2 linked regions of the Arabidopsis thaliana genome follow. The protein of the gene in region 1 purifies or fractionates together with the protein of each later gene. This does not show direct contact. Each region holds a gene or a part of one and is shown in the gene's direction. Other genes may lie near its edges.

Region 1 (6,265 bases):
TTAACCCAATGTTATCTCATTATCCTTCATCTCAATCTATTTTTCTATTTACTTAAATTTGAGTTTTCAAGACACTTTTTAAAAAAATGAAAAAGGGTTAGAAATAGAGAAGAGAGTAAGAAAGAAGTGTAAAATCAAATAAACGAATCTCATTAAGCACCTACTTCCCACATCTTTCTTAAAGTTTCTTACATAAAGCTCCCTTCACACGTGCTTACCAAATCAGATTGTCAATAATTCTTGCTCAATAATTTTTCGAAATTTATTTGAATTTATCTAATAAAAATACATTGTTTGAGTATGATATTTTGCTTAAGAAGGTTGATTATTCTCCCTATCAAAGTCTAAAAAGAAGATTACAAAACAATTGTATGGTTAAATTCATATAAATTTGTGACTAGTATTTTAATATTTACATATATACAAATACTTATAGATGAAACGAGAATGCAGAAATGATTATAGATAGATCAGTGACAGTGAACTGTAGCAACCGGCAAAGAAACCTCGTTAGCTGGACACACGATTACGATCATGCCCCCAGTCTCCTCTGTCCAGACGGCTGCATTAATAACAACGAGCTAGAGGGTGTTTTCGTCTTTTCGATACTTATCCCAAAACCGACAATCTCTGGTTTGGACTCGAAGGCTGATTTGGTCAATTCATAGCAACCGAACGAGCAGTCCATTCAAGTCCAAAGAGCTCCTTAGTGGTAAAAGATGTAATTACGTAGATGTTCCATGGTCAAGAATGTATTCAGTCAAAATAAATATTTGACCAAAACTTTCGGTTAATTTCCTACCACCAGCAAAATTATAACTTTTTCTAATAATTATCAATCATTTTCAATCTCTTTTAATTTTCTTTTTCACTTTTTTTTATTAATTAAAGTCAATTCACACTATACAAAAAGAAGGAAGTCTAAATATTTTTTTACTTTCATGTTGCTTTTCTAACTTTTATATTTTGCTCTTCTCAACAGATTTTGCTGGTTTTTGTATTAGAAATATTATTATGTTTCCAGAAATGAATTTTTTATATGTCGTCTGGATTCGTATATATATATTGGAAAGTGAAATTAATTCATTTGATTTTTTTCTTTGATATATCGACCAAATCAAATAAATACGACCCCATTGTGGCATTGTTAATGCAAAAAGGCACAAGTACAAAAAAAACATAATAATTCACTATTTTATTTACAGACACATGGGCCCAATTCATACGGCCCAATTACCATAAACCTCTCTTTTAAAGAGTGGGTTCCACAGTGGTAAACTTTTTGACTATCCATTGGAATGATTGCATCTGGACCGTTCATCTACATTAATTATTGGGTTTTTTCGCTTTAAAGCATCAATTAACTTATTACGTATAGGATTAGATTACCAATAACGATCTTTTTAGCTTTTGTCGTTTTCCGATAAAACCATACGATTAAGAATATGACCTCTTGTATCTTTTGAGGGATTTTAGTTAATCTTTCTACATTTATTTTGTTGGATGCTCATACAATTATCCTGTGTCTCTCAAAATAAAACAAAAATTACTCTATTTATTAGTACATTACACATGATTATTTAGAAAATGTATATTGTGGTCATATGAAATGAGAAATTAAAGGAAATTTGTCAATACTTGAGAACATCACCATTCAAATGTTTCAAGAACAACATGACTCCAAAACAAAATAAATGAACCTTTCCCTAATAATAGTATATTCTCCATCGTACAAAGTTCTAAATAATACAATATTCATTTCGTCAAAGCATATGATGTGTTGGAATCAGAATTATCTGCAAATGTTTGAATTTCAAATGTTAGTATCAGGCTATTTTTACTGTTTTATCAAATATCGTTTCTTCTGCAATCTATCACTTGATTGTTTTATCAAATCAGCACTAGTATTATTGATTTTGTAATTTGTGTTTGTCTACCTCCAATTACTTTTTAGTGTTATGATTAGTAATGTAATAAAATCACAAATCTGACGTGGCACCTATATACAATTCCAAAAACAAGTGGAACGAATATAAAACAAATTCACACCTTCCTCATCTTCTTCTTCGTCTTCACTTACCTTCTCTCTACACTCACACCATCTCACAACCCTAATCTCTCCCACACAAGAGAGATAGAGAGAAACAATGAAACTTTTTCTTCTCCTTCTTTTTCTTCTCCACATTTCTCATACCTTCACCGCAAGCCGACCAATCTCCGAGTTCCGTGCTCTCCTCTCACTCAAAACCTCTCTCACCGGCGCCGGAGATGACAAAAACTCGCCTCTCTCTTCCTGGAAAGTCTCAACAAGCTTCTGTACATGGATTGGTGTCACGTGCGATGTATCTCGCCGTCACGTGACTTCTCTTGATCTCTCCGGTCTCAACCTCTCCGGTACTCTTTCCCCAGATGTTTCTCATTTACGTCTTCTTCAGAATCTATCACTCGCTGAAAATCTAATCTCCGGTCCGATTCCGCCGGAAATCTCGAGCCTTTCCGGTCTTCGTCACTTAAATCTCTCGAACAATGTCTTCAACGGTTCGTTTCCCGATGAGATTTCTTCTGGATTGGTGAATCTCCGAGTTCTTGATGTCTACAACAACAATCTAACCGGAGATTTACCGGTTTCCGTCACCAATCTGACTCAGCTCCGGCACCTTCACCTCGGTGGTAACTACTTCGCTGGAAAGATCCCGCCTTCGTACGGAAGCTGGCCAGTTATTGAGTATCTAGCGGTTTCCGGCAACGAGCTTGTCGGGAAAATCCCTCCAGAGATCGGAAACCTAACGACTCTCCGGGAGCTTTACATCGGCTACTACAACGCTTTCGAAGACGGTCTTCCTCCAGAGATCGGAAATCTATCGGAGCTAGTCAGATTCGACGGAGCTAATTGCGGATTAACCGGTGAGATTCCGCCGGAGATTGGGAAGCTTCAGAAACTCGATACGCTTTTCTTGCAAGTGAATGTCTTCTCCGGTCCATTAACTTGGGAGCTAGGAACGCTATCGAGTTTAAAATCAATGGATTTGTCTAACAACATGTTCACCGGAGAGATTCCAGCGAGTTTCGCAGAGTTGAAGAATCTCACGCTTTTGAATCTCTTCCGTAACAAACTTCACGGCGAGATACCGGAGTTCATCGGAGATTTGCCGGAGCTTGAAGTGTTACAGCTTTGGGAGAACAATTTCACCGGAAGCATCCCGCAGAAATTAGGAGAAAACGGTAAACTAAATCTCGTCGATCTCTCTTCCAATAAGCTGACCGGAACTTTACCGCCGAACATGTGCTCCGGTAACAAGTTAGAAACTTTAATCACTCTTGGAAACTTTCTCTTTGGTTCAATCCCTGATTCTCTTGGTAAATGTGAGTCTTTGACCCGGATCCGAATGGGTGAGAATTTCCTGAACGGGTCAATCCCAAAAGGACTATTCGGATTACCCAAATTAACTCAAGTGGAGCTCCAAGATAATTATCTCTCCGGAGAGTTACCAGTCGCCGGAGGTGTCTCTGTTAATCTTGGTCAGATCAGTTTATCAAACAACCAGCTCTCAGGTCCATTACCTCCGGCGATCGGGAACTTCACCGGCGTTCAGAAACTTCTTCTTGATGGAAACAAGTTCCAAGGTCCTATTCCTTCAGAGGTAGGGAAGCTTCAGCAGCTCTCGAAGATTGATTTCAGCCACAACTTGTTCTCCGGTCGAATCGCGCCGGAGATTAGTCGTTGCAAGCTCTTAACGTTTGTTGATCTGAGCAGAAACGAGCTCTCCGGTGAAATCCCAAATGAGATCACTGCTATGAAGATATTGAATTACTTGAACCTGTCGAGAAACCATCTGGTTGGATCAATCCCTGGTTCAATCTCGTCAATGCAGAGCTTAACATCTCTTGATTTCTCTTACAACAACCTCTCCGGTTTAGTTCCGGGAACAGGACAATTCAGTTACTTCAACTACACATCGTTCTTGGGTAATCCTGATCTCTGTGGTCCTTATCTTGGTCCTTGTAAAGACGGTGTTGCTAAAGGAGGTCACCAGAGTCATAGTAAAGGACCTTTATCAGCTTCTATGAAGTTATTGCTTGTTCTTGGACTACTTGTTTGTTCGATTGCGTTCGCGGTAGTAGCCATAATCAAAGCTAGATCATTGAAAAAGGCGAGTGAGTCACGGGCTTGGAGGTTAACAGCTTTCCAGAGACTAGACTTCACGTGTGACGATGTCTTGGATTCTCTCAAAGAAGACAACATTATAGGCAAAGGAGGAGCTGGTATTGTCTATAAAGGCGTAATGCCTAATGGTGATCTAGTCGCGGTTAAAAGACTCGCTGCAATGTCTCGTGGATCTTCCCATGATCACGGCTTCAACGCAGAGATTCAAACCTTAGGAAGGATAAGACACAGACACATAGTGAGGCTTCTCGGATTTTGCTCAAACCACGAGACGAATCTACTTGTCTATGAGTACATGCCTAATGGTAGTCTCGGTGAGGTGCTTCACGGTAAGAAAGGAGGACACTTGCATTGGGACACACGTTACAAGATTGCTCTTGAAGCTGCTAAAGGACTCTGTTACCTTCATCACGATTGTTCTCCATTGATCGTTCACAGAGATGTCAAATCAAACAACATCCTCCTTGATTCAAACTTTGAAGCTCATGTTGCTGACTTTGGTCTCGCTAAATTCCTTCAAGATTCCGGTACTTCTGAATGTATGTCTGCAATCGCTGGCTCTTACGGCTACATAGCTCCAGGTACTAAAATCTTCAAAAAAAGTTTCTAACTTTACAATCTCTTGCTCTGTTTTTCTCTTTAAAGTTTCTAACTTTACTATCTTTTGCTCTGTTTTGGTGTTTGTGTAGAGTATGCGTATACGTTGAAGGTAGATGAGAAGAGCGATGTGTATAGTTTCGGTGTGGTTCTTTTGGAACTCGTCACCGGAAGAAAACCTGTCGGAGAATTTGGAGACGGTGTCGATATAGTGCAATGGGTTCGTAAAATGACTGATTCGAACAAGGATTCGGTTCTGAAAGTATTGGATCCGAGACTTTCTTCGATTCCGATTCATGAAGTGACGCACGTCTTCTATGTAGCGATGCTCTGTGTAGAAGAACAAGCTGTTGAGAGGCCGACTATGAGAGAAGTTGTTCAGATTCTCACTGAGATCCCGAAGTTGCCACCGTCGAAGGATCAGCCGATGACGGAATCAGCGCCGGAGAGTGAGCTTTCGCCGAAGTCTGGTGTTCAAAGTCCGCCGGATCTACTCAATCTATGAGAGTTTTCTGATTCACGGCGGTTAATTTAGGGTACCGGTATAAGGGGTAAATTTGTCTTTTCATAAATGTTATTAGCGATGAGATTTGGTTGTTAATTTACTTTAATCCCTCTTAGTACGGTTTGTGCTTTGGTCCGGTTTAGTAGGTTTTTTTTTGAAAGAAGGTTGTTTAAACTCTTTTTAAGTGTGTTTCATTTTCCTTTTTTATGTTTTTAATCGGTATTCGGCTTTATTTAGTTTGTAATTTGTGTTAATGAAAATGTACAGTTGGTTTTTTTTTGAAGGAATTTCAAAATATCTTGAAAAGAGTGAAATGTGTAATGTGAACACTCTTGCATGTCTTGCTATAGAGTCACGCATCTGCAACTGATATGAACGATCACCTTCTTTATTGTTTTTAGGTATTTGACTTTGTTACAAAGATTCAAATGTAGCTACTAACACCTGCAATAACCTGAAAGAAATTTCATCAAACAGAAATTATATTTGATCTCCATCAACAAGATGTTTGAGAGCGGTTAAAGTTGTGGTTGCGTTTGCGTTTGGTGAAAATGTTAACTTGGAAGAATAATTAAAGAGGAAGCATGTGAGAGGTCAAAGGTATAAATGTGGTGGGGAGATAATGATTGGTTTTGAGTTAATATGAGAAGCCTATAAGGTGATATTTCTCCCACATGCAAAATATATACCAAAGTCTTTAAGTCTTTAATGATTTTGATGAGATCTCTTCTCTATTCCCTGCTCATGAAGCAATTTCTACTCTATGTAAAGCATTTATGATTTCATCGATCACTCATAAATATAAGCCACACCCAACTTACATTAATATGGTTTTCATTTGGCTGTACGTAGTTTCCAATGATGATTGTAGATCTAAGTCTAGGTTTTAATGAGAAAATTGGACCAAACAAACAAAATTGTAGCTATCTTCGTGTTTGTTCACATTTTGGAGATAACAGCCTAACTAGATCATGGGCTAAGTGTTAGCTTTGATAGGG
Region 2 (5,297 bases), 5.8 Mb from region 1:
TTCTCTGATAGTCCTCAAGTTCATGTACTATAAGGAAACATACCGGTTGCGTCTGCTTGTGGAATGCATCTAGCCTTGATCTAAGAACATCCGCATTGTCATCTTTACGTTGAATCAATGGCTCTCCAGTCAGCTAACAAACAACGAAGTTGATACAGAGATCAAATCACAAGAGAGAACTCGATTTACTAAGTCAAAATGATGAATCAGAATTTGATGGTTTTTCTTACATCATCGACTCCTGGAACTTTAGGAGGTGCGAATTTAGTATGATAGCTTCTTCCACTTGAAGGGTGAATCCACCTTCCAGTAATTCTTTCTTCGAGAACCGAATCATCGATCGCAAAATTAAGCACCTTATCTATCTGAGCTCCCCTTCTATTAAGCATCTCATCAAGCTACAAGATTTATAAACAAAAAAAGTCAGAACATTTACAAGAGCGAGCAGATACACAAACAACTAACCACAGAAAAGAACCAGAAACCTTCTCTGCTTGAGTCACAGTCCGCGGGAACCCATCAAGAATGAAACCTTTCTGACATTTGGGTCTGTTCATTGCTTCATCCATGATACCAACAACCAAGTCATCAGAAACAAGCTCTCCCTTATCCATTGCTTCCTTTGCCTTCACACCAAGAGGAGTCTTAGCAGCAACAGCAGCTCTAAGCATGTCACCAGTAGACAAATGACACAAACAAAACTCATCCTTTATGACCGGAGACTGTGTACCTTTCCCTGAACCAGGTGGACCTGCAAATTCCAAATCATACATGAACCAAAACTCAATTCTTCCTTTCTATTGAACCAAAAAACACAAATTCACAATCCCTTCGCTATGATCATCAGATAAAGCATTAACGATAACAGCAAAATGCAATTTTTACACACTAAAACAGATAAAAATCGGAACTTTCGCTACACAATTTTCACAGAGATCAAACCTAAAGTACCGATTGAGTGAAAGATTCAGAGGTAACGAAAGAGATGATTGTACCGATGAAAACGAGACGTTTGTCAGGTTTAGAGGCACATTTCATACGGCGAAGAAGCTCAGACATGAGATCAACAGTCTGAATATCTTCCATATCAACAGAAGCCGCACTGCTCGTTGCCATGTTCGTCGTCGTCGTCTCTTACAAGAGAATTAGATTTGGTCCGGTGGAGTTGTGTTCTCTTTTTGAAGTGCGTGTATTGGATTCGATGCTTCCAATGTTTTCTTTCACCGTTTTACGATTTTACCCTTAACTGTGCCAACAACTACAAAGGCCTGCCCTTCGAACAACAACAACCTGCCTGGGGTTGGTGACACACCCAACTCTGAAAACGAGTCTTTCTTCTTACACATCTAATATCGCACATTTTTCATAATTACATAAAATCAAATATCATATAATACTTCCAACAAACCATTATGTTTTAGGTCAAGTGAACCAAAAAAAGCGGACTAGAAAACATAGAATAAGTAGAGTCTAACACATTTTTTCGGTTTTAAGGCACGATGGACCGGTCATTTGTCCAATTAACACTAGTGTTAAGAAACTTAATTTGATATTAAGTACTGAGGTTGAAGATTTTGCTAGTTTATGGTAGACTTATGAATATCAGTATACCACTAGACCACATTCACTTTTCGTCAATAAGACAATTAAACTCTTGAAAACCCACATTTTTCTTTTTTTTTTTTGAAAGCCAAACTCCATCAATGTTTGGTTATTAAAGATATGAATGAATACTACATCATTAGTTTCTTTCTTGATAATTTTTGTATATTTATTTATTAATAAGTTTTTGTATTTTTCTAAATTCTTAACATTAATAAAAGAGTTTTCCAAAAAATGCAAAATAATACTATAAAATTCAAAATAGTACATAATATAAGCTTTTTTTTTTCCAACTTTACATATATTGTAAACGTTTTTACGATCACATACATCTGCTTTTTGAAAATTCTAAAAATATAAATAAACTCTTTACCTCAAAAGTTTCAATTTGCTATATACATTTTTTTAAAATCAAATTTAACAATAAAAAATAAAATTAGATTACATATTATTTTAGAATTAAATTAACATAGGCCCACTTCTTATGTTGGGAAAAGGGAACAACAAATATAACAATTTAGCAACAAAGAAGTAGAAAAAAGAGGTGATGTCATAATAAACGGTAAAATAATAGGAACGATGAGCGAGCGGATCTAGCTTTCGTCAAAATCATCATCACTGAGTACATCTGCCACGTCAGCTTGATTGGGATCTATTTGGTCGCCCGTACACAAAATCTCGGCTCACTCACTCACACTACTCAAGTCAACGTTTCTAAGATTCTCCGGCGGAGCGATTATGTCAGGTAAAACTATCGCCGATCTCTTCTTCTTCTTCTGATTCGAATCTCTCGTCCCCATTCCCTGATTTTTTTGATTTACATTTGATAGGATCTTCTTCACCGAGCTTGTGGCTGGCACCGAATCCGAGCAAGAGATGGGGAGAGCTCTTCTTCCTCTTCTACACTCCTTTTTGGCTCACTCTCTGTTTAGGCATCGTTGTTCCTTACAAGCTTTACGAGGTCTATGCGATCATCAAATGAGCATTGTTTTTAAGTGTCTGATGTATTTAGGAGACGATGAGACAGAGTTGAAGTAGCTATTCACTTTTTTTTATCTGCTAAATTAGATCAACAAAGTTTATGAAATGATGTCTCATTGTTTACCATGTCAGTGTTTTAGAGATCTGAAAATTTTACTGTTGTATGAAGTTGTCTTTTAAGTGGTATTGAAGAAGTACTAATAAGTGTTAGTTACTTTGCAAACTAGCAGACATTCACGGAGTTGGAGTATCTGCTTCTAGCTTTGGTTTCAGCTGTTCCTGCTTTCGTTATACCCATGTTACTCGTTGGAAAGGTTACTTTTTGACAACTTTTGCTTTCACTGTGAGCTAACGTGTTCGTGGTGCTATACTTGTTTGTCTACTAGCTACTTGCTTCCAATTGAATGCAAATCTCTATTGTTTTCCTTACCATATGGACTCAGAATATATGCATTATTCTTTCAGGCCGACAGAAGTTTATGTTGGAAGGACCGCTATTGGGTTAAGGCAAGCTTTTTTTCTATGTGCATGACATTTTGGCTTGCCAGTTCTAGTTTCAAACTATTTTTAGAACTTGTTTTAACTTCCTTGAGTACTGGTGAGAGTTCTCAAGATCTCATCCATAGTTGTACTGATTGGAACATGTTTTTACCACAGGCAAATCTCTGGATAATTGTTTTCAGCTATGTCGGAAACTACTTTTGGACTCACTATTTCTTTAAAGTTCTTGGAGCGTCCTATACTTTTCCATCATGGAAAATGAATAATGTAAGCACAGCATTATCTCGGCAGATTTGTTCTATTGAGTAGTTTTCTTGTTTCCATGAGCTTATGGCAGGGGTTTTGTGTTGAACAGGTGCCTCACACAACATTCTTCCTAACACATGTTTGCTTCCTCTTTTACCACGTTGCATCGAACATTACTCTTCGGAGGCTACGCCATTCCACTGCTGATTTACCAGATTCTCTGAAATGGTGTTTTGAGGCTGCATGGATACTTGCGCTTTCTTATTTCATTGCATACTTGGAGACTATTGCTATCGCAAATGTACGTTGTGATGTCTACATTTCTTTGATAATTTCCTATAAAAAGAGCTCTCTACTTGGTGTTTTATCATATATCACAAATTCCTCTTATAGTCTGCTTAAAGACTACGTTTATCTACTTAATCATTCTAGAATCTTGTTTAGAAACTAGTCACTTGACAATAACCGCTCATATGTTCTGTTTTTGTTTTCAAACTTGTGCAGTTTCCTTACTATGAGTTTGTGGACCGAAGTGCCATGTACAGAGTTGGATGTCTTTTCTATGCCATTTACTTCATTGTGAGCTTCCCAATGTTCTTCAGGTAAAGAAAGCATAGTTTTCTATCATCTCATAGAAGCAGTGAATCTTTTCACCTTCATGACTGTTGCATATCAAAACTGAGACAAGTGATAGTTGTTAGATACACCGGATTAATTGATTGAATTTTCTTGAGAGTCTTAAAATATAGGAATTAAAGACTTAAATGGAGAACCAGGTCTTTCTCAAGTGTCTTGAGGAGTTCTTTGAACAGTCTCTGTGATATGCTTCCGTCTCACCTTCTTATTGCTATTTGATTACCTCGAGTTGTTGTCTATCTGTTTTCATATGTTTTATTCATTGTTTGCAGGATGGATGAGAAATCAACTGATGAATGGGATTTATCTCGAGTGGCTGTTGATGCTTTGGGTGCTGCTATGTTGGTAACAATCATTCTTGATCTATGGCGTCTCTTCTTGGGACCTATAGTTCCCTTACCGGAGGGACAAAACTGCCTTCAGTCTGGATTACCATGGTTCTCCAATTGAAGATTGAAAGATCGGTTACTTCCACCAATTCAGGGAATTGACATGGGACTGAGAGAGAAACCTGCAAAGGAATTTCCATTAACACTTTACGGAATTGGGAAGCAGTTAATGCAGGGCATGTTTCTAAGGCTTTTCTTCTCCAACTGCTGATTTGTTTGTTAGTTGTTTTTGGTTTTCAGTTTCTCTTGATGAACTTTCCCAATGTAACCTTTCAAGTTATCCTTTATAGAACAGAATGGAACTTCGTTTTTTGTTGTGGACTCGATATATTGGTTCGTCCTCTTAAGTTCATTAAAACAAGAAAGACCATAACACCATTGAAAGAACCAAAACTTGATATTAAATGGTAAAGTCTCATCACATGAAGTAGCTAAGGGCTTACTTTACTTCTGCAACCTCCCCCGTAGCATTTGTTCCATTGTTGTAGTCACTAACTTATATGGGACGACTGTTGCAGTGCATAACTGCAACCACAATCAGAACACTAATCTCTGGTCCAAGATCAACATTACCTGGTCCTGTGACCATCCATGATTCCTTGAACAAGTACACGTTCTCAGTTCTTTGTCCGTAGACCGGTTAGTAGTGGGAGATAGAACAAGACTGCTCTCCGTTTTTGTAATCTTTGCATCTGAGAATATTAAGGAGATACGACTACTAACCGTAAGAGTTTACTTGTTCATATATGTCATAGTTTTAATGTGGTTTGTAATGAGTCTTTGGAGTGTAAGAGTTTAAAAATGATTTAATATAAGATCTAAGTCTCATTCACATAAGATAACCCTGTTTCAAGATACAACAACAATTCTATTATAGGAGCATCCTTCAACTTTTAAATATAAAAAACATAAAACACTGAATCAGAATCATACTGATACTAA

Evidence for each region.
Region 2: the proteins of BAM1 (region 1) and CPI1 purify together in Arabidopsis thaliana (affinity purification with western blotting, with the first as the bait; one study listed by BioGRID). This does not show direct contact.

The regions. Positions count from the first base shown.
Region 1 is NC_003076.8:26,279,679-26,285,943, forward strand, and holds BAM1 (Leucine-rich receptor-like protein kinase family protein), read left to right. Parts: upstream 1-2,032; 5' UTR 2,033-2,147; coding exon 2,148-4,746; intron 4,747-4,854; coding exon 4,855-5,267; 3' UTR 5,268-5,287; exon of another isoform or gene 5,288-5,413; 3' UTR 5,414-5,735; downstream 5,736-6,265. UniProt on the Arabidopsis thaliana protein: Necessary for male gametophyte development, as well as ovule specification and function. Involved in cell-cell communication process required during early anther development, and regulating cell division and differentiation to organize cell layers.
Region 2 is NC_003076.8:20,509,516-20,514,812, forward strand, and holds CPI1 (cyclopropyl isomerase), read left to right. Parts: upstream 1-2,151; 5' UTR 2,152-2,340; coding exon 2,341-2,347; intron 2,348-2,432; coding exon 2,433-2,563; exon of another isoform or gene 2,564-2,813; coding exon 2,814-2,897; intron 2,898-3,048; coding exon 3,049-3,090; intron 3,091-3,240; coding exon 3,241-3,351; intron 3,352-3,439; coding exon 3,440-3,631; intron 3,632-3,834; coding exon 3,835-3,932; intron 3,933-4,238; coding exon 4,239-4,311; coding exon of another isoform or gene 4,312-4,416; exon of another isoform or gene 4,417-4,449; coding exon 4,450-4,566; 3' UTR 4,567-4,734; downstream 4,735-5,297. Other genes in the region: AT5G50370 (Adenylate kinase family protein), read right to left, coding at 44-133, 231-398, 486-751, 996-1,116. UniProt on the Arabidopsis thaliana protein: Converts pentacyclic cyclopropyl sterols to tetracyclic sterols.